Anolis sagrei: one gene and its partners. The protein of the gene in region 4 interacts with the protein of the main gene of each other region in a pairwise test. Links are inferred from orthologs where the notes say so. Each region holds a gene or a part of one and is shown on either strand. Other genes may lie near its edges.

Region 1 (7,237 bases), about 20 Mb from region 4:
CACTTTAAATGTCTTGGCTCAATGCTATGGACTCCTGGGATTGACAGCTTGATGAGGAACCAAAATTCCTGGGCAGAGAAGATTAACAGCGCTGTCGAACTACAGCTCTCGTGATTCCATAGAACTGAGCCATGTCAGTTCAAGTGGAGTCAAACTGCATTAATCCTACAGTGTGGATGAACCCTAGGACACAAATCCCCACTAGGAGACCTTGGGCAAGTCCCACTCTCTTGGCCTCAAAGGAAGGCGACGACAAACCATCTCTGAAGAAATCTTGCCAAGAAAAACCATATCATTTATGACACACAACTCCTTACCCTTTGCCCCATAGAAAGCCGCTAGATCTACAATGCAATGATGTCACCTCCATGTGCATAAAGACAACGCTGAACCTATAAGTTCTGCCAGCATTGCACAGGATCAATTATTATGAACAAAATTCTCTTTTTAGTTCTGATTATAGTATATGCATTAAATCCATTCGACATATCTACTTGCTGACTCCTCATCCCACCACTGATTGAACAGCTCTACCCTAAATGAGGGTAAACAACTGGGACATAGCATACCTGTTATATTTCTTTCTGATGGATAAAGGATGCTGGAACAGGCAGGACGGGCAATGTTGGTTGTAAAGCTTCACTCCTCTGTGAAACAAAGAAAAAAACGTATTTAAAACATTTCAACCAAAGTCTTTATCATACACTAGCATGCTGCACCAGTATGATTTCCATCTATGTTCATGAAAGTTGGCTAAATATTCTTCCTCCCCAGACAGTCTATTGTATTCTATTGCCGCTGTACGTTAATCTTTGTACCCTGTGTTTTGGTGTATGTATTTTATAATGGTATGTTTTGATGCATGTATTTTGTTGTATGTATTTCAAGTTGATATGTTTTGAGTATGTTGTACTCTTCCTAGAGCTGTTAAGAGAAGTGGGTAATAAATACAATTTATTATTACTATCATCATCTATGTTTTATTAGGTATGGAGGTTTTCCATAATCACACTACCCTGGGAGAGTTAAAGTTCTATTTGCTGGACAGGCACCTAAAGTTCTACCTGTTGGACAGCCACCCAAAGCTCACCATCCACCTAAGCTCTATCTGTTTGGACATCCACTTAAAGCTCTGCCTGTTGGACAGCCACCCAAAGTTTTACCCATTGGACATCCACCTAAAGTTCTACCTGTTGGACATTCACCCAATGCTGACCATCCATCTAAAGCTCTACCTTTGGGACATCCATCTGAAGCTCTGCCTGTTGGACATGCACCTAAAGTTCTACCTGTTGGACATTCACCCAATGCTCACCATCCACCTAAGCTCTATCTGTTGGGACATCCACCTAAAGCTCTACCTTTGTAACATCCACCTGAAGCTCTGCCTGTTGGACATCCACCTAACGTTCTACCTGTTGGACATTCACCCAAAACTCACCATCCACTTAAGCTCAACCTTTAGTACATCCGCCTAAAGCTCTGCCTGTTGGACATCCACCTAAAGTTCTTCTTGTTGAACATTCACTCAATGCTCACAACCCACCTAAAGCTCTACCTTTGGACATCTACCTGAAGCTCTGTCTGTTGGGACATCCACCTAACGTTCTACCTGTTGCACATTTACCCAATGCTCACCATCCACCTAAAGCTTTACGTTTGGTACATCCACCTAAAGCTCTGCCTGTTGGACATCCACCTAATGTTCTACCTGTTGGACATTTACCCAAAGCTCACCATCCACCTAAGCTCTACCTTTGGAACATCCACCTGAAGCTCTACCTGTTGGACATCCACCTAAAGTTCTACCTGTTGGACATTCACCCAAACTCACCATCCACCTAAAGCTCTACCTTTGGTACATCCACCTAAAGCTCTGCCTGTTGGACATCCACCTAATGTTCTACCTGTTGGACATTCACCCAAAGCTCGCCATCCACCTAAGCTCTATCATTGGTACATCCACCTAAAGCTCTACCTATTGAACAGCCACCCAAAATTCTACGGGTTGGACATGCACCTAAATTCTACCTGTTGGGCATTCACCCAATGCTCACCATCCACCTTTGGGACATCCACACGAAGCTCTACCTGTTGTGCATTCATCTAAAGCTCTACCTGTTGGATGTCCACCTAAAGTTCTACCTCTTGTGCATTCATCTAAAGGTCTACCTGTTGGACGTCCACCTAAAGTTCTACCTCTTGTGCATTCATCTAAAGGTCTACCTGTTGGACGTCCACCTAAAGTTCTACCTGTTGGACATGCACCTAAAGCTCTACCTTTGGTACATTCACCCAAAGCTCTGCCTGTTGGACATTCACCCAAAGCTCGCCATCCACCTAAGCTCTATCATTGGTACATCCACCTAAAGCTCTACCTTTAGTACATTCACCTAATGTTCTACCTGTTGGACATCCACCCAAAGCTCACCATCCACCTAAGCTCTATCTGTTGGGACATGCACTTAAAGTTCTGCCTGTTGTGCATTCATGTAAAGGTCTACCTGCTGGACATGCACCTAAAGTTCTACCTGTTGTGCATTCATCTAAAGTCCTCCCTCTTGAACGTCCACCTGTCCCTATTAAAGAACCTCTAATATACCCTTCCTCTTCTCCTTTTCTAACCTTGCCTGAAAATGGAACAGGGCTCCAAAATCAATTATCCCCGCCCGCCCGCTCCACTTCCTTTCCAGGCACTGACCCACCAAACACAAAATCAATCCCACCCTTTAATGCCTCCCCTCCCTCCCGCTCTCCGGGGCCCGCCCGCCTCGCTTTGGGCGTCCTCCTCACCCGCCGCCTCTTTCCTTCCTCAAAACGCCGAAGGGGTCGCGGCCGTCGCTCTCCGAGGCCTCCGAAACTCCCCGGGCTGAACTGAACCGTCTCCCGAGCGGGTCGGCGCGCCCTCCGCGTCCCCAGCCCAACCGAAGGGCGGAGCTCGAAGCTCTAGCCTCCAGCAACAGGCCGCCCTCGCCAGTCAGAAACTTCCGCCTACAAATCCCGGCATGCCATCGCGTCGCAGCGCTCCTTACGCAATCATAAACGGACGAGGATGACGTTACGTATGACGTCATCCGCCTCGTTCCCTCGCTTCCTCCCCAGCCAGGCAAAAGGAGTCGAAGGCAGAGCTATCGAGCGCCATTCAAATCCACTTTATCGGCCCTCTGCTTTTCTTTTCAAACATTAATAAAGACATGTTATATATATATATTTAAAAGCACGAAAAATACGCACAGACACTTTGATGTCTTTGAGGGATCCTCAAATATTTTACAATATTTGAATGGGAAATACAATACTTTTACAATATTTTAATGGTTTTACAATATTTTAATGGAAAATTATACCAAAGGGCTTCATTATTATTTCTTAAAATTTTTCAAAGCAATAATGGAATGTATTTTTATTATGTTTCATATTTATTGTATGATTTTTATTTTTTAATGTTTCATATTATATATATATATATATATATATAATTTATATATTTATTTTTATATTATATTTATATACTTATTTTATTATGTTTCATATTAATAATAATAATAATAATAATAATAATAATAATGTGTTGTCGAAGGCTTTCATAGCCGGAATCACTGGGTTGTTGTAGGTTTTTCGGGATGTCTGACCATGTTCCAGAAGCATTCTCTCCTGACGTTTCGCTCACATCTATGGTAGGCATCCTCAGAGGTTGTGAGGGCTGTTGGAAACTAGGAAAAATGGGTTTATATATCTGTGGAATGATGTCCAGGGTGGGAGAAAGAACTTTTGTCTGTTGGAGGCAAGTGTGAATGTTGCCATTGGCCAGCTTGATTAGCATTTGAAGGCCTGACAGTTTTTAGGTGTGGCTTCTTAGTGCCTGGGAGAATCTTTTGTTGAGAGGTTTTTTATTTATTTATTGTGTCATCAGCAACCGTACCATTGTATTACATTTCTAACAGAACAAAACAAACAAACAGATAAAAAAAACCCAAATTTTGCAAACTTGGTAGTTGATTAAATGTCCTTTGACCAGTATCTGGCCACTTGGAGTGCCTCTGGTGTTGCTGCAAGAAGGTCCTCCATTGTGCATGCAGCAGGGTTCAGGGTGCATTGCAGCAGGTGGTCAGTGGTTTGCTCTTCTCCGCACTCGCATGTCGTGGATTCCACTTTGTAGCCCCATTTCTTAAGATTGGCTCTGCATCTTGTGGTGCCAGAGCGCAGTCTGTTCAGCGCCTTCCAAGTCGCCCAGTCCTCTGTGTGCCCAGGGGGGAGTCATAGAATCATAGAATCAAAGAGTGGGAAGAGCCCTCATGGGCCATCCAGTCCAACCCCCATTCTGCCAAGAAGCAGGAATATTGCATTCAAATCACCCCTGACAGATGGCCATCCAGCGTCTGTTTAAAAGCTTCCAAAGAAGGAGCCTCCACCACACTCCGGGGCAGAGAGTTCCACTGCTGAACGGCTCTCACAGTCAGGAAGGTCTTCCTCATGTTCAGATGGAATCTCCTCTCTTGTAGTTTGAAGCCATTGTTCCGCATCCTAGTCTCCAAGGAAGCAGAAAACAAGTTTGCTCCCTCCTCCCTGTGGCTTCCTCTCACATATTTATACATGGCTATCATATCTCCTCTCAGCCTTCTCTTCTTCAGGCTAAACATGCCCAGCTCCTTAAGCCGCTCCTCATAGGGCTTGTTCTCCAGACCCTTGAATATAGGGTCTCAATATAGTGGGCTTTTTTGTTGCTGTTTTCAGGGCTTGTTTTCCAAAGTGTTCCATGTACAAATTAGCTATGGGGGCTCCCCATAGCTACTCCATCTTTCTGTTCATAGAACTCATTGTCCCACTGAAAGTAGCTGGTGGTGAGGCAATGGTGAAACAGAGCACAGAAATGCTGGACCACTCTCACAACCACCATGTCAGATTACACACAGAAGCCATTGAAATACACAAGCATGTGGACAATTTCATCAGAAAGGAGGAAACAATGAAAATGAACAAAATCTGGCTACTAGTATTAAAAAAAACTCTAAAATTACAACAGCACAACAACAGAGAGGAAACGAACAAGGACATTTAATCACCTCTCAACAAAAGATTCCCCCAGGCACTGTCAGGCCATTATATGCTAATCAAGGTGGTCAGTTGAAACATTCACACCTAGCTCCAGCAGACAAGAGTCCTTTGTCCCACCCTGGTCATTCCACAGATATATAAGCCCTTTTTCCTAGTTCCAATAGGCCTGCCATAGATTGAGGCGAAACGTCAGGAGAGTATGCCTCTAGACCCGAAAAAACCTACAACAACCCAGACCTCACAACCTCTGAGGATGCCTACCATAAAAGTGGGCGAAACGTCAGGAGGGAATGCTTCTGGAACATGGCCAGACAGCCTGAAAAACCTACAACAACCCATTATTATTAATTTATTATTATTATTATTATTATTATAGGAAAAATCCTGTGCACTTCTACTCCAAAGCTTCATCTGAACATTAGGAAAAACTTCCTGACTGTGAGAGCCGTTCAGCAGTGGAACTCTCTGCCCCGGAGTGTGGTGGAGGCTCCTTCATTGGAAGCTTTTAAGCAGAGGCTGGATGGCCATTTGTCAGGGGTGATTTGAATGCAATATTCCTGCTTCTTGGCAGGGGGTTGGACTGGATGGCCCATGAGGTCTCTTCCAACTCTTTGATTCTATGATTCTATGATTCATTGGGACAAAGGGGGCCTCTCGATCCCCCTTCCCCTTCTTTCTGATTTGGACTCTTCCAATGGGAACTACACTTCCCACAATGCAAAGCGCTCCTTTGGATTCTCTGTCTCCTCCCCCCATTGGACGAATGGTACGTTCCAATGGGGCGGGGCTGATGCTGTCGCCGTGGCAGCGCGGGGAGGGGGCCTGGAGGGCAGGTAAGAGCCTGGGGATGGTGGAGGGTGCAGTCCAAAGCCCCCAATTGAATACAAGAGGCCTTGGTTGCCGGGAAGGACCCATCCAGGCTTTGAACAGGAGATCACAAAGCCCATTCCAGCCTTTCCCAAGGCTCTAGGGGTCTGGGCTGATGGGTGGTGCAGTCCAATGTCTCTATAGAGCAGGGGTTCCCAACCTTGGGCCCTCCAGGTGTTTTGGACTTCAACTCCCAGGTATCCTAGCCAACTTAGCAGCTGTTAGGAATTGTGGGAGCTGAAGTCCAAAAGGCCTAGAGGACCAAAGGTTAGGAACCCCTCCTCTATAGAGAAGGATCCATTTATTCTGGGAAAGGGAGGCCACAAAGCTCAATTCTACCTTTCCCAAGGCACAAGGGCATCTGGGGATGATGGGTGATGCAGTCTGACATCCCTATTGAGGGCAGTAGGCACTCACTGTAGGGAAGAACCCATTATGTTGGGTAAAGGAGGGCATGCGTACCAAGTTTGGTCCAGATCTATTATGGGTGACCATGACAGGTTTGAATCGACTCCAATTCCCATCGTCCTCTATCAATTCTTGCCAGTTTTTAAAGTTGTTCCAGGTGTGAATGTGGGCCAACTTCAACCCAGATCCATTTATTTATTTATTTATTTACGACATTTATATGCCGCCCTTCTCACCCCGAAGGGGACTCAGATTGGCTTATAAGATATATATGTATATATATACATACATACAATATATTATATTATTAGCATAGTACAATATCAGCATTGAACATTGCTATATTGCACCATACCACTATATCGTAATATTATTAGTAATATTAGAATGGAGCATTCTCGGATGGAGGGCGATTAATAAGTTATTAAATGATGATGATGTAATATAAATATATAATTATAATATCATATTATTATTACATTGCATTACATTATAACATTTCTCCCATGGGGAGAAAGGTGGGGTATAAATAAAGATAATAATAAATTATAAATTATTATTATTAAGGTGGGGTATGAATTATTATTATTATTATACTGACACCAAACCACAGTATGTCACAGCAAATGAGATATATGTGCTGGATTTCGTATCACAAAATCACAAACCAAACACTTCCCACGCATCTAGGACTGTGTGATGTATTTTCAAATGATGCGCGCAGATCCAAGTCAGGTGGCCTTTTGCAGTTGACAGATCGTGATTTTGTCGCTATCAAGACCTCAAAATCGAACTGCAAAGGCTCTGGCATAAACCACTCCAGGTGGTCCCAGTGGTCATCGGCGCACTGGGTGCCTGCTGAGATCTTTTGGCATGGCACCCAGTGCGCCAATGACCACTGGGACCA
Region 2 (7,654 bases), on a different chromosome or scaffold from region 4:
CAAACCCTTCCAGTATTTTCTGTTGGTCATGGGAGTTCCGTGTGCCAAGCCTGGTTCAATTCAATTGTTGGTGGAGTTCAGAATGCGCTTTGATTGTAGGTGAACTATAAATCCTAGCAACTACAATGCCCAAATGACAAAATCAATCCTTCCCAACCTCACCAGTATTAAAATTTGGGTGTATCGGATATTTGTGCCAAATTTGGTCCAGTGAATGAAAATAGATCCTGCATATCAGATATTTACATGATGATTCATAACAGTAGCAAAATTACCATTATGAAGTAGCAATGAAAATATTTTTATGGTTGGGGGTCACCACAACATGAGGAACTGTATTAAGAAGGTTGAGAAGGAATGCTTTTGGTGGTGGTAGTTTGTAAGAGACGGGGAAGGCAGCAGCCCACTCCCACCATTGCCTTTCCTCTCACCATTACATATCATGCTTGCCAAAATGCTTTAGGAGGGCTTTAGGGGCAGAATTCTGTGGCCCCGTTTAAGAGAATGGCACATGTCCCTTAAACCATATTTGGAAGTAATACAGTAAAGTAAATACACATCTGAACAGGGAGGAGCCTGCTGGACTGGAGTGGGAAAAATGTTGCCCTTCAGGTGCCATGAAGTTGCAAGTCTCAGCAGCCAGGAGAGCTAATAAAGAATGATGGGAGTTGCAAAACCACCTTGAGCAGTGCTTCCCAATCTTTGGTCCTCCTGGTATCCTGGGCTGGATCTACACTGCCCTATATCCCAGGATCTGATCCCAATTATCTGCTTTGAACTGGATTATCTGAGTCTACACTGCCAAATAATCTGGGATAAACAGATAACCTGAGATTAGATCCTGGAATATAGGGCGGTATAGATTCAGCCTTGGACTTCAGTTCCTACAATTCCTAACACCTGGTAAGATGGCTAGGATATCTGGGAGTTGAAGTCCAAAACAACTGGGAGGACCATAGGTTGAGAATCACTAATCTAGAGCACTGACTTTTCCTTTTTTGGAGGACAGCTGAAGCATTTTCTGCACAACCAGCCCAACTGTAAACATTGCACATTGTTGTAAACATTGCACATGGTTCAGATATGTTTCGCTGTTGCCCATTTTTTGTGATTCCAACACTGAGCTAAGGGGTCCCCATTTGGGATCAGGACCTACAGTTTAAAAAACAGTATTCTGTTAGCAAAAATGTGCAGTGTTCACAGTGGACTCTGCAGAAGATGCTTTAGTTGTACATCACAAAAAGGGGAAATCAGTCTGCTTAGCAAGCCTTGCAAATGCAGATTTTGTCACAGAATCGTAGAGTTGGAAGAGACCACATGGGTCATCTAGTCCAACTCTTTGCCATGCAGGAAAAACACAATTAAAGCACCCCCGACAGATGGACATCCAGCCACAGTAAATGTTTAGTGTTCACATCAATTTGACATACATCTATAGCCAGGTCATATGAAACATTATTGGGTAAAAAGGGGTCATGAGTGGTCTTCCTTTTAAGCACCTCCTAGTATAAGACCATGAAGCCCAGTCTAAAACTACCTAACTACTTCACTTCCCAAAACAGCTTCTAAATTAAACTTTTTTTTCATGTCAGGAGTGACTTGAGAAACTGCAAGTCACTTCTGATGTGAGAAGTGAGATGTCTGTCTGCAAGGATGTTGCCCAGGAGACACCCAGATATTTTTACTATCCTGTGGGAGGCTTCTCTCATGTCCCTGCTTGGGAAGCTGAAGCTGACAGATAGGAGCTCACCCTGCTCCCCAGATTCGAACTGTGACCTTTTGGTCAGCAGTCCTGCCGGCACAAGGGTTTAAACCCATTGCGCTACCGGGGGTTCCATGAGTTTATAATCAGTGCTTGGAAAAATGTGGCCTCTCTACTGATGTCCTCATTTTCTACCCCGAGGTCCGCTTCCCCATCTTCATCTTTCTATATTGACAAATCTACTGTATATTTATGTCTATTCAGCAGTGGGACTTTCTGCTTCGGAATGTGGTGGAAGCTTTTAAATAGAGGCTGGATGGCCATCTATCAGGGGTACTTTGATGGTGCTTTTCCTGCATGGCAGGGGGGATGGACTATATGGCCCCTGTCGTCTCTCCCAACTGAATTATTCACACACACCCACATACACAAATATATATATATATATATATATATATATATATATATATATATACACACACACACACACACACACACACATATACATTCACAAACACACACACACACACACACACACACACATATATACACACATAGTTTTGTTTAACTGACTTCCTCTTGCATTTGTTGCTTAAGCCCCTTCTACACAGCTGCATAAAATCCACATTGAACTGGATTATCTGGCAGTGTGGACTCTTCCAGACAGGCCCTCTATCCCAGGTTTTCGGTTTTCTGTTTATCCCAGATTATCTGGCTGTGTGGACTCACATAATCCGGTTTAAAGGAGAAAACTTGGGATCAGATGCTGGAATAGAGGGCCGATCAGCCCCAGAGGAGGAGAGAACTATGATGCCTCTGCATGGAGCCAGGGCAGCTCAAGCGGTGTGGAGCTGCATCAGTTCCACCGTGTAGAGGGGTGTCCTAACTCGCTCTCCCTTCCCCCTCCTCCCAAAGGCACTCACGGGTTTCTTGCGTGGCTCCCTTCCGAGGCCGCGGGTGGGGCATGGGCCAAGGGGTTGGCTCGCCCTGCAGGAGGCGCCTTCCTCTTGCTCTTCTCTCCGAGGGCGCAAGGCATCCGACGCCGCTTTTGGTCCCCTCTTCTGTCCGTGGAAGCTCTCTCTCAATCGCTCTCTTTCTCAATCGCTCTCTCTGCTCTTCCTTCCTTCCCTCCTCCTCCCCTTCTCCTTCTTCCTCCTCCTCCTCCTCCTCGCCTCTCCCTCCCTCCCTCTCTCTGTGCGCTCAGCCTTTGGCACGGAGTTGCCTCCCACGCCGCCGGATTTACAATGGCTCCGCGTTGCTTGTGCTGCTGCTGCTCTGCCTCAGTGGCGCGTGGGAGGCTCGTGGGCGGAAGAAGCAGCAGCAGCACTGAAGGGAGGGAAGTGAAGGGAAGGAGCTGCAGCCACACACTGTCCGGTTCATGCAGTTTGGCATCAGGGGGAGTTTGGAGAGATTCCAGCCCTCGTGGGCAGGCAGAGAAGGCTACAAAGGCCCTTTCCACACTGACATCGAACATCCAGATGATCTGCTTTGGCAGTGTAGACTCATGTAATCCAACTCAGAGCAAAACATGTGAACCAGTGGTTCTCAAACGGTGCTCCTTCAGATGTTTTGGGTCTCATCCCTGCTCTGCACAAGTCTCTTGTCACATCAAGTCTCCAGTCCACAATGAGGAGCTAGACTCAAGATAGGAGTAGGCTGAGGGATTCCTCCCCCACATTCTTATGCATATTTACCAAAAAGGGCTTTGGGTTCTTATAATTTTTTTCGGGCTATATGACCATGTTCTAGAGCAGTGTTTCTCAACCTTCCCAATGCCGCGACCCCTTAATACAGTTCCTCATGTTGTGGTGACCCCCAACCATAAAACTATTTTTGTTGCTACTTCATCACTGTCATTTTGCTCCTGTTATGAATCGTAATGAATCTCCAGCAAAGGATCACCGCCTTGTCGGGGCGCTGGAGCTTGAGCACCTCAATGATGTCATGAGCGAAACCGTGAAGGGCCACCCAAGACGGGACGGTTGTGGCAGAGAGGTCAGACCAAGCGTGATCCCTGGGGAAGGCAATGGCAAACCACTCCAGTATCCTTGCCAAGAAAACTAAATGGACCAGTACAACCAGAGATATGTCGGTATGCCATTGGAAGATGGGACTCCCAGGTCGGAAGATGGCCAAAATGCTACTGGGGAGGAGCAGAGGATAAGTTCAACTAGCCCCAGATGTGATGACGCAGCTAGCTCAAAGCCGAAAGGAAGGCTAGCGGCCGACGGTACTGGAGGTGAACGACGAATCCGATGCTCTAAAGATCAACACACCATAGGAACCTGGAATGTAAGATCTATGAGCCAGGGCAAATTGGATGTTGTTATTGGTGAGATGTCAAGACTAAAGATAGACATTCTGGGGGTCAGCGAACTGAAATGGACTGGAATGGGCCACTTCACATCAGATGACCACCAGATCTACTACTGCGGACAAGAGGAACATCGAAGAAATGGAGTAGCCTTCATAATTAATAAGAAATTCGCTAAAGCAGTGCTTGGATACAACCCAAAAATGACAGAATGATCTCAATTCGAGTGCAAGGAAAGCCTCTCAACATCACAGTGATCCAAATATACGCCCCAACCACAGCAGCTGAAGAAGCAGAAGTAGATCAGTTCTATGAGGATCTGCAGGACCTACTGGATAATACACCAAAAAGAGACATTATTTTCATTACAGGAGACTGGAATGCCAAGGTGGGAAGTCAAATGACAACAGGGATCACAGGCAAGCATGGTCTGGGAGAACAAAACGAAGCGGGACGCAGGCTGATAGAATTCTGCCAGGAAAACTCGCTGTGTATAACGAATACTCTCTTCCAACAACCTAAAAGACGGCTTTATACATGGACCTTACCAGATGGTCAGCACCGAAATCAGATTGACTACATCCTTTGCAGCCAAAGGTGGCGGACATCTATCCAGTCGGTGAAAACAAGACCTGGGGCTGACTGTAGCTCAGATCATGAACTTCTTATTGCCCAATTTAGAATAAAACTAAAGAGATCAGGGAAAATACACAGACCAGTTAGATATGATCTCACTAACATTCCTAGCGAATATACAGTGGAAGTGAAGAACAGATTTGAAGGACTAGATTTAGTAAACAGAGTCCCAGAAGAACTATGGACAGAAGTCCGCGACATTGTTCAGGAGGCGGCAACAAAGTACGTTCCAAAGAAAAAGAAAACCAAGAAGGCAAAATGGTTGTCTGCTGAGACACTGGAAGTAGCCCAAGAAAGCAAAAGGAAACAGTGAAAAGGGGAGATATGCCCAGTTAAATGCGCAATTCCAGAGGTTAGCCAGAAGAGATAAGGAACTATTTTTAAATAAGCAATGCATGGAAGTGGAAGAAGACAACAGAATAGGAAGGACAAGAGACCTCTTCCAGAAAATTAGAAACATTGGAGGTAAATTTCAGGCAAAAATTGGTATGATAAGAAACAAAGATGGCAGGGACCTAACAGAAGCTGAAGAGATCAAGAGAAGGTGGCGAGACTATACAGAAGATCTGTATAGGAAGGATAACAATATCGAGGATAGCTTTGACGGTGTGGTGAATGAATTAGAGCCAGACATCCTGAGGAGTGAGGTTGAATGGGCCTTAAGAAGCATTGCTAACAACAAGGCAGCAGGAGATGATGGGATCCCAGCTGAACTGTTTAAAATCTTAAAAGATGATGGTGTCAAGGTGATGCATGCCATTTGCCAGCAAATATGGAAAACACAAGAATGGCCATCAGACTGGAAAAAATCAACTTATATCCCCATACCAAAAAAGGGAAATGCGAAAGACTGCTCAAACTTCCGTACAGTGGCCCTTATTTCTCATGCCAGTAAGGTAATGCTCAAGATCCTGCAAGGAAGACTCCAGCAATACATGGAGCGAGAGTTGCCAGATGTTCAAGCTGGGTTTAGAAAAGGCAGAGGAACGAGAGACCAGATTGCCAATATCCGCTGGATAATGGAGAAAGGCAGGGAGTTTCAGAAAAACATCTACTTCTGCTTCATTGACTATTCTAAAGCCTTTGACTGGGTGGATCATAATAAATTGTGGCAAGTTCTTGGTGGGATGGGCATACCAAGCCACCTTGTCTCTCTCCTGAGGAATCTGTACAAGGACCAAGTAGCAACAGTCAGAACTGACCACGGAACAACAGACTGGTTCAAGATTGGGAAAGGCGTACGGCAAGGCTGCATCCTCTCACCCAACCTTTTAAACTTGTATGCAGAACACATCATGCGATGTGCGGGGCTGGATGAATGCAAAGCTAGGGTGAAAATTGCTGGAAGGAACATTAACAACCTCAGATATGCAGATGACACCACTCTGATGGCCGAAAGCAAGGAGGAGCTGAGGAGCCTTCTAATCAAGGTGAAAGAAGAAAGCGCAAAAGCCGGGTTGCAGCTAAACATCAAAAAAACCAAGATTATGGCAACAAGAATGACTGACAACTGGAAAATAGAGGGAGAAAATGTGGAGACCGTGACAGACTTCGTATTTCTAGGTGCAAAGATTACTGCAGATGCAGACTGTGGCCAGGAAATCAGGAGATGCTTACTTCTTGGGAGGAGAGCAATGTCCAATCTCAATAAAATAATAAAGAGTAGAGACACCACACTGGCAACAAAGATCCGCCTAGTCAAAGCCATGGTATTCCCTGTAGTAACCTACGGATGTGAGAGCTGGACCTTAGGGAAGGCTGAGCGAAGGAAGATCGATGCTTTTGAGCTGTGGTGCTGGAGGAAAGTGCTGAGAGTGCCTTGGACTGCGAGAAGATCCAACCAGTCCATCCTCCAGGAAATAAAGCCCGACTGCTCTCTGGAAGGAAGGATACTAGAGACGAAGTTGAAGTACTTTGGCCACATCATGAGGAGACAGCAAAGCCTAAAGAAGACAATCATGCTGGGGAAAGTGGAAGGCAAAAGGAAGAGGGGCCGACCAAGGGCAAGATGGATGGATGGCATCCTTGAAGTGACTGGACTGACCTTGAAGGAGCTGGGGGTGGTGACAGCTGACAGGGAGCTCTGGCGTGGGCTGGTCCAGGAGGTCACGAAGAGTCGGAGACGACTGAACGAATGAACAACAAATGAATCGTAATGTAAACATCACATATGCAGGATGTATTTTATTCACTAGACCAAATTTGGCACAAATACTCGAAACACCAAAATTTGAATACTGGTGGGGTGCGGGCTTGATTTTGTCATTTGGGAGTTGCAGTTGCTGGGATTTATAGTTTACCTAGAATCAAGGAGCATTCTGAATTCCACCAACGATGGCATTGAACCAAACTTGGCACACAGAACTCCCATGACCAACAGAACATACTGGAAGGGTTTGGTGGACGTTGACCTTGAATTTTGGAGTTGTAGTTCACCTACACCCAGAAAGCACTGTAGACTCAAACAATGATGGATCTGGACCAAACTTGGCACAAATACTCAATATGCCCAAATGTGAACATGGGCGGAGATTGGGGAAAATAGACCTTGACATTTGGGAGTTATCGTTGCTGGGACTTATAGTTCACCTACAATCAAAGAGCATTCTGAATCCTACCAATGATTGAATTGGGCCAAACATCCCACACAGACCCTCCATGACCAACAGAAAATACTGTGTTTTCTGGTGGTCTTTAGTGACCCCTCTGACACCCCCTCATGACCCCTCCAGGGGTCCCAACCCCCAGGTTGAGAAACAGTGTTCTAGAGGCATTCTCTCCTGACGTTTCACCTGCATCTATGGCAAGCATCCTCAGAGGTAGTGAGGTCTGTTGGAAGTAGGAAAATTGGGTTTATATATCTGTGGAATGACCAGGGTGGGACAAAGAACTCTTGTTTGTTGGAGCTAGGTGTGAATGTTTCGACTGACCACCTTGATTAGCATTTGATGGCCTGGCAGTTTTTTGGTGTGGCTTGTTAGTTTTTAGTTTTTGTTTTTTGT
Region 3 (7,133 bases), on a different chromosome or scaffold from region 4:
CTACCCTTTTCTGCCTGAGATTTTTCTATGGGACCTTAGATATATACGTATTTTAAAAAATCAAACTTTTCCTGATAATCAACCAGCATTTGCAAGGCTTGCCAAACAAAATAAAAAAATCTGTTCCTGGTTTAAAAGTGTCAATTTCTGTTTAAGTGTGCAATAAAGCACTGAGCTGCTGAGCTTGTTGACCAAAAGTTCACAGGTTCGATTCCAGGGAGCGGCGTGAGTTTCTGCTGTCAGCCCTAGCTTCTGCCAACCTAGCAGTTCGAAAACATGCAAATGTGAGTAGATCAATAGGTACCGCTCCGGCGGGAAGGTAACGGCGCTCCATGCGGTCATGCTGGCCACATGACCTTGGAGGTGTCTATGGACAATGCTGGCTCTTTGGCTTAGAAATGGAGATGAGCACCACACCCCAAAGTCAGACATGACTGGACTTAATGTCAGGGGACAACCTTTACCTACTTCCTTTGAAAGTAGTTGTGATACTCCAGAAACTTTATTTTGGTGGCTGCCATAAACTATATTGAACTGGTTGAGACTCGATGAGATATTCATTGAAAAACTATAGCAATCTGCGATATGGCAGGATGTCCTGCAAACACAAAGTTTTTGCAGGTTAATAAACTTTCCCCATGTTTTCATAATAGAACCAATTAGGAAATGACATTGATAATGCAGGAATAAAAAACTGTGTTATATAGTGTTATCTATCATGCAGACTGGGGATAATGGGAATTGTAACCTATCACCCCCTCATGGCTGTAATGGCTGTGAAAGGGCATTTTCAAATCAGACATTGTATCCACAAACCTTGTATATAAATTCACGCTCTGTCCTGGTCCACCCACATTTCTTCTATTTCCCTGAAAGCACAAGTTAGCAGATCTGCCATTTTGTGTTTTAGCATTACCAAAAGGGGTCGGTATTTACCAGGCTTGGGTAAACTTTGGCGCTCAAGCTGTTTTGGACTTCAGTCCCCACAATCCCTAACAGCCTGCTATATGTTAGGAATTGTGGGAGTTGAAGTCCAAAACACCTGGAGGACCAAAGATTGCCCATGCCTGGTATATACCATCAGCTATTTAAAAATGTAATGCCAAGACGCATCCAGCACCTGGATTGGTGGCTCAACACCTAAGATAGATTAGCACCAACCACAGTTCTTGAGGGCCGTCTTCCAGTTCCCCAGATGTGTGCCATCCTGTGTCTTACTGTTAAAATCTGGGGAAATCCCCCTGTCAACAAAAGCTTGGTGGTGGGCCCTTAAATATTGGATTACGGTCAGTGTTTTCAGACTGGGCTCAGGTCTGATTTACCATCTAGCTCAGAATGATTACACCAGCAACTGGTTAAAGCTTAACTCTTCTATTGCCTCTTCTATTGGCCTCTCTTCCTCCCTCTTATCTCATATTGGCACTTTAATCTATCAAACAAAGACTGTAGGACAGTGTTTCTCAACCTGGAGGTCGGGACCCCTGGGAAGGTCGCAAGGGGCTTTCAGAGGGGTCACCAAAGACCATCAGAAAACACTGTATTTTCTGTTGGTCATGGGGATTCTGTGTGGGAAGTTTGGCCCAATTCTATCATTGGTGGGGTTTAGAATGCTCTTTGATTGTAGGTGAACTATAAATCCCAGCAACTATGACTCCCAAATTTCAAGGTCTATTTTCCCCAAACTCCACCAGTGTTCACATCTGGGCATCTCGTGCCAAGTTTGGTCCACATCCTTCATTGCTTGAGTCCACAGTGTTCTCTGGATGTTGGTGAACTACAATGCCAAAACTCAAGGTCAATGCCCACCAAACCCTTCCAGTATTTTCTGCTGGTCATGGGAGTTCTGTGTGCCAAGTTTGGTTCAATTCCACCGATGGTGGACTTCAGAATGCTCTTGGATTGTAGGCGAACTATAAATCTACAACTCCCAAATGACAAACTCATTCCCCCCTCCAACCCCACCAGTATTCAAATTTGGGCGTATAGGGTATTTGTGAATGAAAATACATCCTGCATGTCAGATATTTACATTATGATTCATAACAATAGCAAAATTCCAGTTATGAATTAGCAACGAAAATAATATTATGACTGGGGGTCATCACAACATGAGGAACTGTATTAAGGGGTCACAATATTAGGAAGGTTGAGAAACAGTGCTGTAAGACATTGCCTTCGGTGAGCTGCATTACTGCTCATATGTTTCTTCTTCCCCAAGTGCACTGAGCATACACTTTGCTGGCCCTTTTCATGAAGCAAATTATCTTAAAAATGTGTCTGTGGCCAAATATCGCCACCTATTCTCCAAGCCAAGGTGCAATGTGTTCCCATCCGAAGTGCTTTGGGGTAAATTTGCAGAGTCTCATGCAATGCAAGACTTTGCCTTTGTAATAACCAAGATGTTGAATGTATGGACCCTTCCACACTGCCCTTTATACCAGGATCTGATCCTAGATTATCTGCTTTAAACTGGAATATATGAGTCGCCACTGCCAGATAACCTAGAGCCCCTCCCACACAGCAGAATAAAATCCCACATTATCTGCTTTGAACTGGAATATATGGCAGTGTGGACTCAGATAAGCCAGTTCAAAGCAGATATTATGGGATTTTCTGCCTTGAAATTCTGAGTTATATGGCTGTATGGAAGGGCCCTGGGGTAAAATGATAAACTGGGATCAGATCCTGGGATAAAGAGGTAGTGTGGAAGGGCCCTATGCCTCACATTTTATTGTCCTGCAGTTTTTACAAACAAGCTCAGCTACATATTAGTAACCTACTACTGATACTGGAGCCCCCGGTGGTGCAGTGGGTTAAAGCACTGAGCTGGTGAGCTTGTTGACTGAAAGGTTGCAGGTTCAAATCCGGGGAGCGGCGTGAGCTTCCAGTGTCAGCCCCAGCTTCTGCCAACCCAGCAGTTTGAAAACATGCAAATGTGAGTAGATCAATAGGTACTGCTATGGTGGGAAGGTAACAGCGTTTCATGCAGTCATGCCGGCCACATGACCTTGGAGGTGTCTACGGACAATGCTGGTTCTTTGGCTTAGAAATGGAGATGAGCATCAACCCCTAAAGTCAGACACGACTGGACTTCATGTCAGGGGAAAACCTTTACCTTTACCCTACTACTGAGAAACCTTCCCAATAGATCAGCCCAAATCCAAATAAAGTTCTTACTAGGTTTTTTTTCTTCAAATTCCCCTACGTGACCATTATTGTTGCCAAACTTCTCTCTGAGGTAGCCAGGATAAGACAACTTCTGCTGTCAAGAATTCAATGACTGCACGTTGCTTAAGTCGCATTGACGTACTGCCTGCACAGGGTTCCATACTTCTCACTTTAACAACACAACCGTTCAATGCTAAGGTTTCCTGCCAAAATGGAACTGTAGAGGAGTGTCTACTGAACAAGCCAGTACCTGCTGCATACCAGTACTGCCATCTGTTGAGGAGTTACAGTACCTGCTGCATAGCAGTACTGCCTTCTGTTGAGGCATTACTTTTCATTCAACCCTGGAATTATATAAAGGAAGGGGGGCCATAGAAAAGTCCAGAGGCTCGGGGGGGGGAGGGTTCTGGGCTTGGGTCTCCCCCCCCCCCCCAGTTCCCTTCCAGGTGAGCAGGAGGAGGGTGCCTTGTTTCCATTGGAGTAACAGGGGCGTTCAATGACTGCACGTTGCTTAAGTCGCATTGACCGACCGTCTGCGCAGGGTTCCATAATTTGCACTTTAACAACAAAGCCGTTCAATGCTAAGGCTTCCTGCCAAAATGGAACTGTAGAGGAGTGTCTACTGAACAAGCCAGTACCTGCTGCATACCAGTACTGCCATCTGTTGAGGAGTTACAATGGTGGAGGCATTACTTTTCATCCAAACCTGGTAGTATAGAAAGGAAGGGGGCCCATAGGGGCTCCGGGGGAGGGGGTCTGGGCTTGGGTCCCTCCTTCCTCCTTTCCCCCCAGTTCCCTTCCAGGTGAGCAGGAGGAGGGCGCCTTGCTTCCATTGGAGTAACGGGGGCGGGGGGTGCTCCTGGGCGGCCCTCCTGGAGCTCTGCGACGCACCTGGCGAACGCGTTGTCTGCGCTTGTCCTCGGCGGCAGAATTTCGCCTCGGTCCCTTGCAGCAGCCAGTCAGTGAGAGAGAGCGAGAGAGAGAGGCGGCAGGAGCAGCAGCAGCAGCATCCGCTCCTCCTCCTCCTCTTGCTGCTGCTGCTGCCTGGGTCCAGCTCGCCTTCGCCCAGCCTCCTCTCCCTCCCTGCCTGCCTGCCTGCTTCGCTCGCCCACCCGGGCTGCTGACAACCCGCGCGGCGCCACCGGGATCTGGCTGGACTTCTGCGCGCAGGTAAGGGAAGGGGAAGAAAGGAAAGGGAAGGGGAGGAAGGGGCAGCCCCGGAGAGCGGGCGGCAATGGCAGCAGCAGCAGCGGCAGCATCCACCCGGCGGGGTCCCGCTTCCCATCCTCAGTGGGGAGAAGGGAGCAGGCCGGGCCAGGCAGCCAGGCAGCCAGCCTGCGAGGGGCTTGGGGCAGATGGGCGGCGCGGAGGGGCTCCTCCTCTGCCTCCTCTTCCTCCTCTGCTTCTGCCCTTGGTCTCCATCCCTCCTCCTCTTCCTCCTGCCAACCCCAGAGTCCAAAAGTTTCCTCCTCTCCCGGCCTGGCGCCCCTTCCTCCTCTCTTCCTCTCGGGAAAGGGGAGCAGACCCTCCCCGCCCCTCGGTTGGCCCCTCCGTCCACCCCCAGGCGGCTCTTGCAAAGGAAGGGAGGACTTTGTGCCTTGAAGGCGCTTTGCCATCACCCCCCTTCCTCCTGAAAGTTTCCTCCTGTCACTGAAGGGGGGGGGGGGTTGGAGCCAGTCCTCAGTCCACAGGGATGGAGAGGGTCGTGTCCCTAGTGCCATCTCCTGCCCAAGGCGAGACCTAGGAGAGCAAGGACCAAGGAGCTGACTTGACAGCAAAAGTTTCCTAGATGCTTTGTGGGCTTTTTGGGGGTTGATAGTGGAGGTTCTGAAAACTTGATAGTATCCATTTTCAAGACCTGAATGGCTTCATTTCACCTGAACTTTCTGACCTTAAGAGCTGTTCAACAGTGGAACTCTCCCTGCCTTGGAGTGTAGTAGAAGCTTTAAATCAAAGAGTTGGAAGAGACCTCATGGGTCATCTAGTCCAACCCCATTCTGCCAAGAAGCAGGAAAATTGCATTCAAAGCACCCCCCGACAGATGGCCATCCAGCTTCTGTTTAAAAGCTTCCAAAGAAGGAGCCCCTACCACACTCCGGGGCAGAGAGTTCCACTGCTGAACAGCTCTCACAGTCAGGAAGTTCTTCCTCATGTTCAGATGGAATCTCCTTTCTTGAAGCCATTGTTCTGCGTCCTAATCTTCAGAGCAGCAGAAAACAAGTAGGAGAGGCTGGATGACCATCTGCTGGGGGTGTTTTGATTGTGCTTTTCCTGCATGGCAAGGGGTTCTCCTATAGATGGCCCATGTGGTCTCTTCCAACTATTATTCTAATGTTGGTCACGCGTCAGGGCATGTCAGAGGCAAATGGGCAATTGGTCCATCCCTTTCCATCAACCAGAAGGAAAAGAGAGCTTGGGTTGTTGGGAGTTTTTCAGACTGTCTGGCCATGTTCTGGAAGCATTCTTTCCTGATGTTTTGCCTGCATGTATGGCAGACATCCTCAGAGGTTGTGAGGTGTGTTGGAAACCAGGAAAATAGGGTTTATATATCTGTGGAATGTCCAGGGTCGGAGAAAGAACTCTTATTTATTGTTTTATTTATTATTTTACTATATTTGCATTCTGCCTTTGTCCCCAAGGAAACTCAAGGTGGATTGCTGTGAGTTTTGTGGGCTGTCTGGCCATGTTCTAGAAGCATTCTCTCCTGACATTTCACCTGCATCTATGGCAGGCATCCTCAGAGGTTGTGAGGTGTGTTGGAAACTAGGAAAATTGGGTTTATATATCTGTGGAATGTCCAGGGTGGGAAAAAGAACTCTTATTTATTATTATTATTATTATTATTATTATTATTATTATTATTTTACTATATATATTTACTTCCTGCCTTTGTCTCCAAGGAGACTCAAGTTTTTTTTTTGTCGTGTCAGGAGCGACTTGAGAAACTGCAAGTCGCTTCTGGTGTGAGAGAATTGGCCGTCCACAAGGATGTTGCCCAGGGGACGCCCGGATGTCTTGATGTTTTACCATCCATGTGGAAGGCTTCTCTCATGTCCCCGCATGAGGAGCTGGAGCTGACAGAGGGAGCTCATCCACGCTGTCCCCGAATTCGAACCTGCAACCTGTGGGTCTTCAGTCCTACCGGCACAGGGGTTTAACCCACTGTGCTACCGGGGGCTCTGAGACTCAAGGTGGATTGCTGTGAGTTTTCTGGGCTGTCTGGTCATGTTCCAGAAGCATTCTCTCCTGATGTTTTGCCCACATCGATGACAGGCATCTTCAGAGTTTGTGAGGTCTGTTGGAAACAAAGCAAGTGGGGTTTATGTATCTGTGGAATGTCCAGGGTGGGAGGAAGAACTCTTGTCTGAATGAGAGCTTGTTTCAACTCAGGAGAGTTGGACAGCATCCTTCCTTCTCTCCTGAGGGGAGCAGCCTCGCTTCAGGAACAGGGCATCAGTCGCTTGCTCGCTTCTTTCTCTCTCTCTGTCTGCCCCAGAGGTGACTCCCTAATGTAAGGTCTGGCTTTCTTGGGTGTCATTGCCGCAGGGAAAAAAAGCTATCCAAAAGATGGTGAAAATATTGGCTAGTCTCCCAGGGGTGCCCCCCCCCCCCCACTTTCCCCTCTTCTTGGATGAGTGCCAAGGGTGAGAGATCACAGTCTGCAGGCTGGGAAATGAACAGCCCAACCACCACCTCCTTGCAATTTCAGGAGACGGTGGTGTGGAAACGAGTTGCACTTCATAAAAGCCCACGCGTTTATTTAGCTTTGTTTTTCTTAAGTGTCTCTATCTGTTTGTGCCTCTTATTTTTGATTGCCAGTGTAAAAAATACCCAAGAACCAAGTCTTTGTCAAAGAGAAAAAGTCTTTCAGATGGCAGACAGGCAGCTCTTCAAATTCTAGACTTGATTGACAGGAGCTTGGAAAGTCTTTCCCTCTCATTCACATGTTGTGCATGTGGGGGTCT
Region 4 (7,502 bases):
AACTTAGGAATGTTAATTTGACAGGCATTCGACTCCCATGAATCATAAACCCTTTCCAAAGCCTGAAACTGAAAGGAACACATCCTTTCTCACTTTCCCACTAGATAACGGTTTGTTATCTTTCTTTTGCTTTGGCTGTAAACAAGCAGAACGCCTGAGATTCTGAAAGTTCTGCCTCTGTTTACTAAAACTTTGCCATGGTTTCACAATCATCTCCTGCACCTGGTAAAACAATCACGGCATAATTTTCAGACTGTGGCTCTGAAAAAAGCGGTGAAAGGTCTTTCCCAGGAATGTTGCCTTGCTCAGCCCTCTCTTCTGAACTTAATACCAGGCCGGGCAAACGCCACATTCCCAGGCCCATTATCGGGAACACCATCCCCATTCCTATTATGCACATCAACATGACTGTCGTTCCCAACATGAACATCATCTTGAGCATCAGACACAATCACAGGCTGACCTACAACAACACATACAAGGGGAGATGGGATGGGGTATAAATAAAGATGGCAAGAGTTCAACCAAGACCATTGGAGTCCGTGTGAAGAGAGCAGAAGTTGCCTTCTTCCTTACTGCTTTGTTTTCCAGGATGGATGTCGGGGAAGAGCGGCGTTGTGTTGGTTTCTCTGCCCGCAAGAGCCCTGCAAAGAAACGCAGTGTGAGAAGGATCAGAAATCCCAGAAGGAAGGGAAATGAATTTGGAAGAGCGTAGAGAACTAGGGGTCCATCTACGCTGTGGAATTAATGCAGTTTGACATCACTTGGGACCACCCTGGCTCAATGCAGTAGGATCCTAGGAGTTATAGTCTGGCACACCTTGTACATGATTCCAGAGCATTGAGCTGTGGCTGTTAAAGTGGTGTCAAACTGCGTTACTTATACAGTGCAGATCCCTGGCCTTACCGGTAGGGTTTTGGCTGCCTTTTGTAGAGCAAAGGTTTGTTCAGGTATTGCTGGGCCAAGAACTTGGTGTGGATCAGCTGGTACTCCATATCTATGGCTCAGCGATGTTGGCGCTCTCCCATCTTTCAGAATGGCGGGCCGCGTCTTGTGTGACATCAGCGTGTTCTGTTCTATCTGATAGCAAGGCGTCCTGCCAGCGGTTGAAGATCATCCTTGATCCTACCAGTCATTCAAATCCCTGAGACCAAGAGATAACTTATCTTCTATCTCCCAAGTCTCCAGGGCTAGATGAACCCCATCCAAGAGTACTGAAGTAACTAGAAGTGATTTCAGAACCACTGGCAATAATGTTTGAGCAATCTTGGAGAACAGGAGAAGTCCCAGCAGACTGGAGGAGGACAAAGGTTGTCCCCATCTTCGAGACATAAAAGGACAACCCAAACAATTCCCACTGTTCAGTCAGTCTGACATCAATACTCAAAGTCAACATGGATTCCTCAAAAACAAGTCATGCCAGACTCCTCTTATCTCTTTCTTCGATGGAGTTACAAGCTTGGTAGATGCAGGGAATGCTGTGGATGGAGCAGATCTTGATTTCAGGAAGGCCTTCCATGACCTCCTTGCTTCATACTAGCCCATTGTGGGCAAGGCAAGGCCTACTATAAGGTGGATATGGAATTGGTTAAGCAGCCAAAACCAAAGGGTGCTTCTTCCCAGTGGTTCATCTTCATCCTGGAATGACATGACTAGTAGAGTAGTAGTAGACTAGTAGAGTGAAGGGAGGAGCCAGGAAGACAGTTCCATCTTCTCTCCTGCACTGTGCTAATAATATAATAATATATTGTATATACATATAATACTGATGATATAATGTGATACAATATAATACTACTACTAATATAATTATATATTTTATATTACATGTAATATTACTAATATTACAGTATAATGGTATAGTACAATATAGTAATATACGAACTAGCTGTACACACCGCGCGTTGCTCTGGCCAGCCGTCCCTCCCTCTTTCTTTCCTTCTTGCCCTTCTTCCTTTGCTCCCTCTTCCCTTTTTTCTTTCTCTCCTTCCTTCCCTCTCTACCTTTCCTTCCTTCCCCCCTTTCTTTATCTCTTTCTCTCATTTCTTCCTTCCCTACTTCCTTCCTTCCTTTGTTTTTTGTTTCCATCCTCTCTTTCCTTCCCTCCCTCTTTCTCTCCTTCCTTTGCTCCATCTTTCCTTCCTTCCTTTCCTTTTATCTTTCCTTCTCTCCTTCCACCTCTACCTTTCCTTCCCCCTTTTCATCTTCTTTCCCTCACTTCTTCCTTCCCTACCTCTTTCCCTCTTTCCTTCCTTCGCTTTTTGTTTCAATCCTTCCTTCTCTCTTTCCTTCCTTCCCTCCCACTTTCTCTCGTTCTTTCATTCCTTCCCTTTTTTCTTTCCTTCTCTCCTTCCTTCCTTCTCTACCTTTTTCCTTCCTTCTATTTCCTACTTTATTTCCCTCTCTTTCTTTCTTTCTCCCTTTCTCTCCTTTCCTTCCTTTCCTTTTCTCTCTCCTTCTCCCCTTCCTTCTCTACCTCTTTCCTTCCTTCCCCTTTTTTTCCTTTCCTTTCCCTTTTTCTCCTTTCTTCCTTCTCTACCTCTTTCCTTCTCTATTTCCCTCCATCTTTCTTTCTCCCTTTCCTTCTTTCCTTCCTTCCTTCTCTGCCTCTTTCCTTCCTTCCCCCTTTTTTCCTTTCCTTCCCCTTTTCTTTCTTCCTTCTCTACCGCTTTCCTTCTTTCTTTCCTTCATTTCTCTCCCTCTTTCTCGTTCGTCCAATGGTTTTTGAGTTCTGTTAATCCCACAAACGAACTTACATTGTTATTTATATAGATATTGTGCTATGGTAATAATATATCGTATTTAGATATTACTTGTAAGCCGCTCTGAGTTCCCTTTAATAAAATGAATGTCAACAACTGTATTGTTGAAGGCTTTTATGGCCGGAATCACTGGGTTGTTGTGTGTTTTTTGGGTTGTATGGCAGAGTTCCAGAAGCATTCTCTCCTGATGTTTCGCCTGCATCTGTGGCAAGCATCCTCAGAGGTTGAGAGGTTCACTTTACCTGGAATCATATTGTGTCCCATTCTGGGCACCACCGTTCAAAAGAGATCTCGACTCTTAAGATGGAAGGGGTCCAGAGGAAGGAGACTAAAATGTTCAAATCGTTGGAGATCATGAATAATCCCTATGAGGAGCGTCTTAAAGAACTGGGTCTGTTTACCCTGCAAAAGAGAAGGTTGAGAGGAGACATGAGAGCAGTTAAAATTACATGTAACTGAGTCAAACTATTGCTAGGCTTATAATAATATAAGGTGCGCCAGTACGCATGCGCAGCGGTCTCCTTTAAGGAGCGAAGGTACCCCTCCCATCACAGATCAGCATAGCTTTAAGCGTCAAATAAAAGTACAGTACGCATGCGCGGCTGTTGCGAGGTTTTTAAAGGAGCGCCAGTACGCATGCGCGGCGGGCTCCTCTAAGGAGCGAAAGTTCCCCCTCCCACTGAGAGTTGCTTTAGACTTGTAAAGGAGCGGCAGTACGCATGCGCGGCGGTCTCCTTTAAGGAGCGAAGTTACCCCTCCCATCACAGATCAGCTGAGCTTTAAGCTTCAAATAAAAAGTACAGTACGCATGCGCGGCTGTTGCGAGGTTTTTAAAGGAGCGCCAGTACGCATGCGCGGCGACCTCCTTTAAGGAGCGGGAGTTCCCCCTCCTCTCACATATCAGTGATTCAAAGCATAACCAATTAAGCGCCAGTACGCATGCGCGGAGGGCTCCTCTAAGAAGCGAAAGTTCCCCCTCCCACTAGGTATTGCTTTAGGTTTGTTAAGGAGCGCCAGTACGCATGCGCGGCCGTTGCTTGGCTTCTAAAGGAGCGCCAGTACGCATGCGCGGCGGGCTCCTCTAAGAAGCGAAAGTTCCCCCTCCCACTAAAGTATTGCTTTAGGTTTGTTAAGGAGCGCCAGTACGCATGCGCGGCCGTTGCTCGGCTTCTAAAGGAGCGCCAGTACGCATGCGCGGCGGGCTCCTCTAATGAGCGAAAGTTCCACCTCCCACAGTATTGCTTTAGGCTTCTGAAGAAGCGCCACTACGCATGCGCGGCGGGCTCCTCTACGAAGCGAATGTTCCCCCTCCTTCCATCACATGTCACTGATTCGAAGCGTCTGCTAAATGAGCCCCAGTACGCATGCGCGACAGGCTCCTTCCAAGCCCCGCCCACGCAGGAAAGATTGGAAAAAAAGAATTCCCGCGCGAGTTTGATGAACGTCATCAACGCAGGCCGCGGCGGTGTGAGGGAGAGCAGGAGAGGCACTGGCTGCGCGGTGATGATGACGCAGGAGACAGCTCGAGCGCCGATTGGATGGGCTCGGATAAAAGGGTTGGGTTGAGGAGAGAGGGGGGAGCCGGGGGGGAGCGGTCTCGCGCGTGCGCAGTCCTCAGGCCGCCGCGCGCTCTCCTCAGAGTGATGACGCGAGGGCGCTGATTGGCCGCCGCCGCGGAGAGCGATGACGTGAGCGTGCGGCTCGGGCGCTGATTGGCGGCGACCTCGAGAGGGGCGTCTGAGGCGCTGGCGGCGGCGGCGGGCAGAGGAGGAGGAGGCGGCGGCGGCGTTGCTGCTGCGTGGTGCTGCTGCCCCGCCTCCGTCGCCCCTCGCCTCTTTCCTCTCCCTCCGCCAGGGCCAGGCCACGGCCATGACCGACTTCAAGCTGGGCATCGTGCGGCTGGGCCGAGTCGCCGGCAAGGTGAGAGAGAGAGAGAGCGAGCGGGGCGGGAGGCGGGCCAGGCCCTTCGCTCCCTCACAGGCCCGTGACGCGCCCTGACGTCACGCGGCGGACCTCTGTGACGTCAGGGGGCTTCCACAGGCCTGAAAGGAAGAGGGTCGTTTCCTTCCTCCCTTTCCCCCCCTCTCGCTACAATATGGTTGATATATAATACTAATATTATATATATATATACTTGCAGCACATGGTTATAGATATGTATTTGTACCACATGGTTATGTATCTTAGGCTTGGGCAAACTTGGGCCCTCCGGGTGTTTTGGACTCCAACTCCCACAATTCCTAACAGCCGGTAGGCTGTTAGGAATTGTGGGAGTTGGAGTCCAAAACACCCGGAGGGCCCAAGTTTACCCAGGCCTAGGAGATATATATATATATGTGTGTGTGTTTATACTAGCTGTCCCCTGCCACACGTTGCTGTGGCCCACATGGGGATTCTGTGTTGGAGGTTTGGCCCGTTTCTATCATTGGTGGGGTTCAGAATGCTCTTTGATTGCAGGTGATCTATAAATCCCAGCAACTACAAGTCCCAAATGTCAAGAAAGGAGGAAACCATGAAAAGGAACAAAATCTGGCTACCAGTATTAAAAAACTCTAAAATTACAACAGCACAACAACAGAGAGGAAACAAACAAGGACATCTAATCACCTCTCAACAAAAGTTTGCTCCAGGCACTGTCAGGCCATTATACGCTAATCAAGGTGGCCAATTGCCACAGTCACACTTGCCTCAAGCAGACAAGAGTTCTTTCTCCCACCCTGGACATCATTCCACAGATATATAAACCCTTTTTTCCTAGTTCCAACAGACCTCACTACCTCTGAGGATGCTTGCCATAGATGCAGGCGAAATGTCAGGAGAGAATGCCTCTAGACCATGGCCATATAGCCCGAAAAAACCTACAACAACCCAAGTTCCGTATAGTAGCTCTTTAAAATTATAGTAGTGACATAATAACAATTGCAAATGTCTGGTTTATATCATCCCCAAAATATCTTAATTTCCATTTCTAGCTTCTGCTGTGGACTTTACTAGTTTGGCTCGGATTTTTTGGGCTGCGACTGCAAATGTGGCAACTTTCAATGTTATATCTTTGGAATAATCCGCCAATAAGTCACAAATAACTGCTGACTGTTGCCATGCTGCCCTTTCTTCCAAAAGGGCTACCAAAATATTGTTTCGAGGGACATTATACAGTGAGCAATGTAACAGATAGTGTGTTACATCCTCTCTTTCCCCAGACCCACATATACAATATATATATCTAATATTGTGCTGTGCTAAGGGGACTCAGAGCGGCTTACAAGATATATATACATACAAGATATTATTAGCATAGCACAATATCAGTATTATATATTACTTTATTGTACTATTTATTTATTTATCTATCTATCTGTGGTGGCCCCTCGGCTGTGGAACTCCCTGCCTAGGGATATTAGATGGGCCCCCTCCCTCCTCACCTTTTGGAGAAGAGTGAAAACCTGGCTCTTTGAGCAAGTGTTTGGAACTTCAGCATGACCAGATAATCTCATATTGGAATATGAACTAGGAACGGCCAAGACGATGGAACGGTTGAGGAATTGAACAAGAAGACATAGTTTTTATAATTTGTATTGTTTATTGCTTTTATGGTTTTAAATGTATTATGGTGTGATTTTTGTTTTTGTTTTTAACCAATGTATGTATTTATATATGGCATCTAATTGTGTCGATTTGTACGGCACTTTGAGTCACCTTCGGGCTGATATGGGCGGGATAAAAGTAACATAAATAAATAAATAAATTGTACTATACCATTGTATTGGAATATTATTATTAGTAGTATTATATTGTATTACATTATAATATTATAAATATTATATGTTTAGACAATATATTATATTATATTATTACCATAAGACTGGAGACAAGGTGGAACTGTCTTCCTGGCCCCCTTCTCTCTTCACTCTGGCCCAGAGCAGCAGTTGGTGCAGGGAGAGGGACTCCCAACTGATGACATGGGCATATTATACAATATTGTATAATATATTGAATATATTGTATACATATATAATATTGATAATAATATAATGTAATACAATATATTAATAATAATACAATATAATAATTATAAATTTCATATTACATTTAATACTACTAATAATATTGCGGCATAGTGGTATAGTACAATATCGTAATATATAATACTAATACTGTGCTATGCTAAGAATTATAGCATATTGTATGTACATATAATATATTTGACTATATTACAGTATAATGGTATAGTACAATATAGTAACATATAATACTAATATTGTGCTATGCTAAGAATTATAGTATATTGTATGTACATATAATATTGATCATAATATTTTTATTTATTTGTTTAAAACATTTATATTCCGCCCTTCTCACACCGAAGGGGACTCAGGGTGGAGCGCAGCATATACACAGCAAACTTTCAATGCCGGGACACAAATTCATGTACAATACATAAACACTGAAAACATTTATCAAAATATTAAAATACACAATTTAAAACCATCCTGGTCATCCTCATAAAATCTAATTGGCTTGGTCATCTTTCCTATTGCCGCTTTATTCCCTGTCCCGAAAGCTTGGCCCCACAGCCAAGCTTTTAGCATCCTTCTAAAGGACAGGAGAGAGGAGGCCGACCTGATCTCACCAGGAAGGGAGTTCCATAGCTGGGGAGCAATCACCGAGAAGGCCCTGAGAAGGGCGACATATAAATGCCGTAAATAAATAAATAATCCTAGCATATGTAACCTCTCCCAT

The links.
Region 1: the proteins of ZMYND19 (region 4) and TNFAIP1 interact in binary tests that used the Homo sapiens proteins (3 or more experiments, as listed by UniProt). The two-hybrid records come from large-scale screens. The link is inferred for Anolis sagrei from reciprocal best matches to the Homo sapiens genes ZMYND19 and TNFAIP1.
Region 2: the proteins of ZMYND19 (region 4) and NAB2 interact in binary tests that used the Homo sapiens proteins (3 or more experiments, as listed by UniProt). The two-hybrid records come from large-scale screens. The link is inferred for Anolis sagrei from reciprocal best matches to the Homo sapiens genes ZMYND19 and NAB2.
Region 3: the proteins of ZMYND19 (region 4) and ENOX1 interact in binary tests that used the Homo sapiens proteins (3 or more experiments, as listed by UniProt). The two-hybrid records come from large-scale screens. The link is inferred for Anolis sagrei from reciprocal best matches to the Homo sapiens genes ZMYND19 and ENOX1.

Annotation. Positions count from the first base shown.
Region 1 is NC_090031.1:25,689,323-25,696,559, reverse strand, and holds the start of TNFAIP1 (BTB/POZ domain-containing adapter for CUL3-mediated RhoA degradation protein 2), read right to left. Parts: upstream 3,011-7,237; 5' UTR 2,794-3,010; intron 648-2,793; 5' UTR 570-647; intron 1-569. UniProt on the Homo sapiens protein: Substrate-specific adapter of a BCR (BTB-CUL3-RBX1) E3 ubiquitin-protein ligase complex involved in regulation of cytoskeleton structure.
Region 2 is NC_090022.1:184,056,526-184,064,179, reverse strand, and holds the start of NAB2 (NGFI-A-binding protein 2), read right to left. Parts: upstream 3,022-7,654; 5' UTR 2,739-3,021; coding exon 2,626-2,738; intron 1-2,625. UniProt on the Homo sapiens protein: Acts as a transcriptional repressor for zinc finger transcription factors EGR1 and EGR2. Isoform 2 lacks repression ability.
Region 3 is NC_090023.1:144,623,175-144,630,307, forward strand, and holds the start of ENOX1 (ecto-NOX disulfide-thiol exchanger 1), read left to right. Parts: upstream 1-4,128; 5' UTR 4,129-4,338; intron 4,339-7,133. UniProt on the Homo sapiens protein: Probably acts as a terminal oxidase of plasma electron transport from cytosolic NAD(P)H via hydroquinones to acceptors at the cell surface.
Region 4 is NC_090031.1:6,000,289-6,007,790, forward strand, and holds the start of ZMYND19 (zinc finger MYND domain-containing protein 19), read left to right. Parts: upstream 1-4,483; 5' UTR 4,484-4,631; coding exon 4,632-4,682; intron 4,683-7,502. Other genes in the region: protein STPG3, read right to left, coding at 577-752, 907-995. UniProt on the Homo sapiens protein: May be involved as a regulatory molecule in GPR24/MCH-R1 signaling.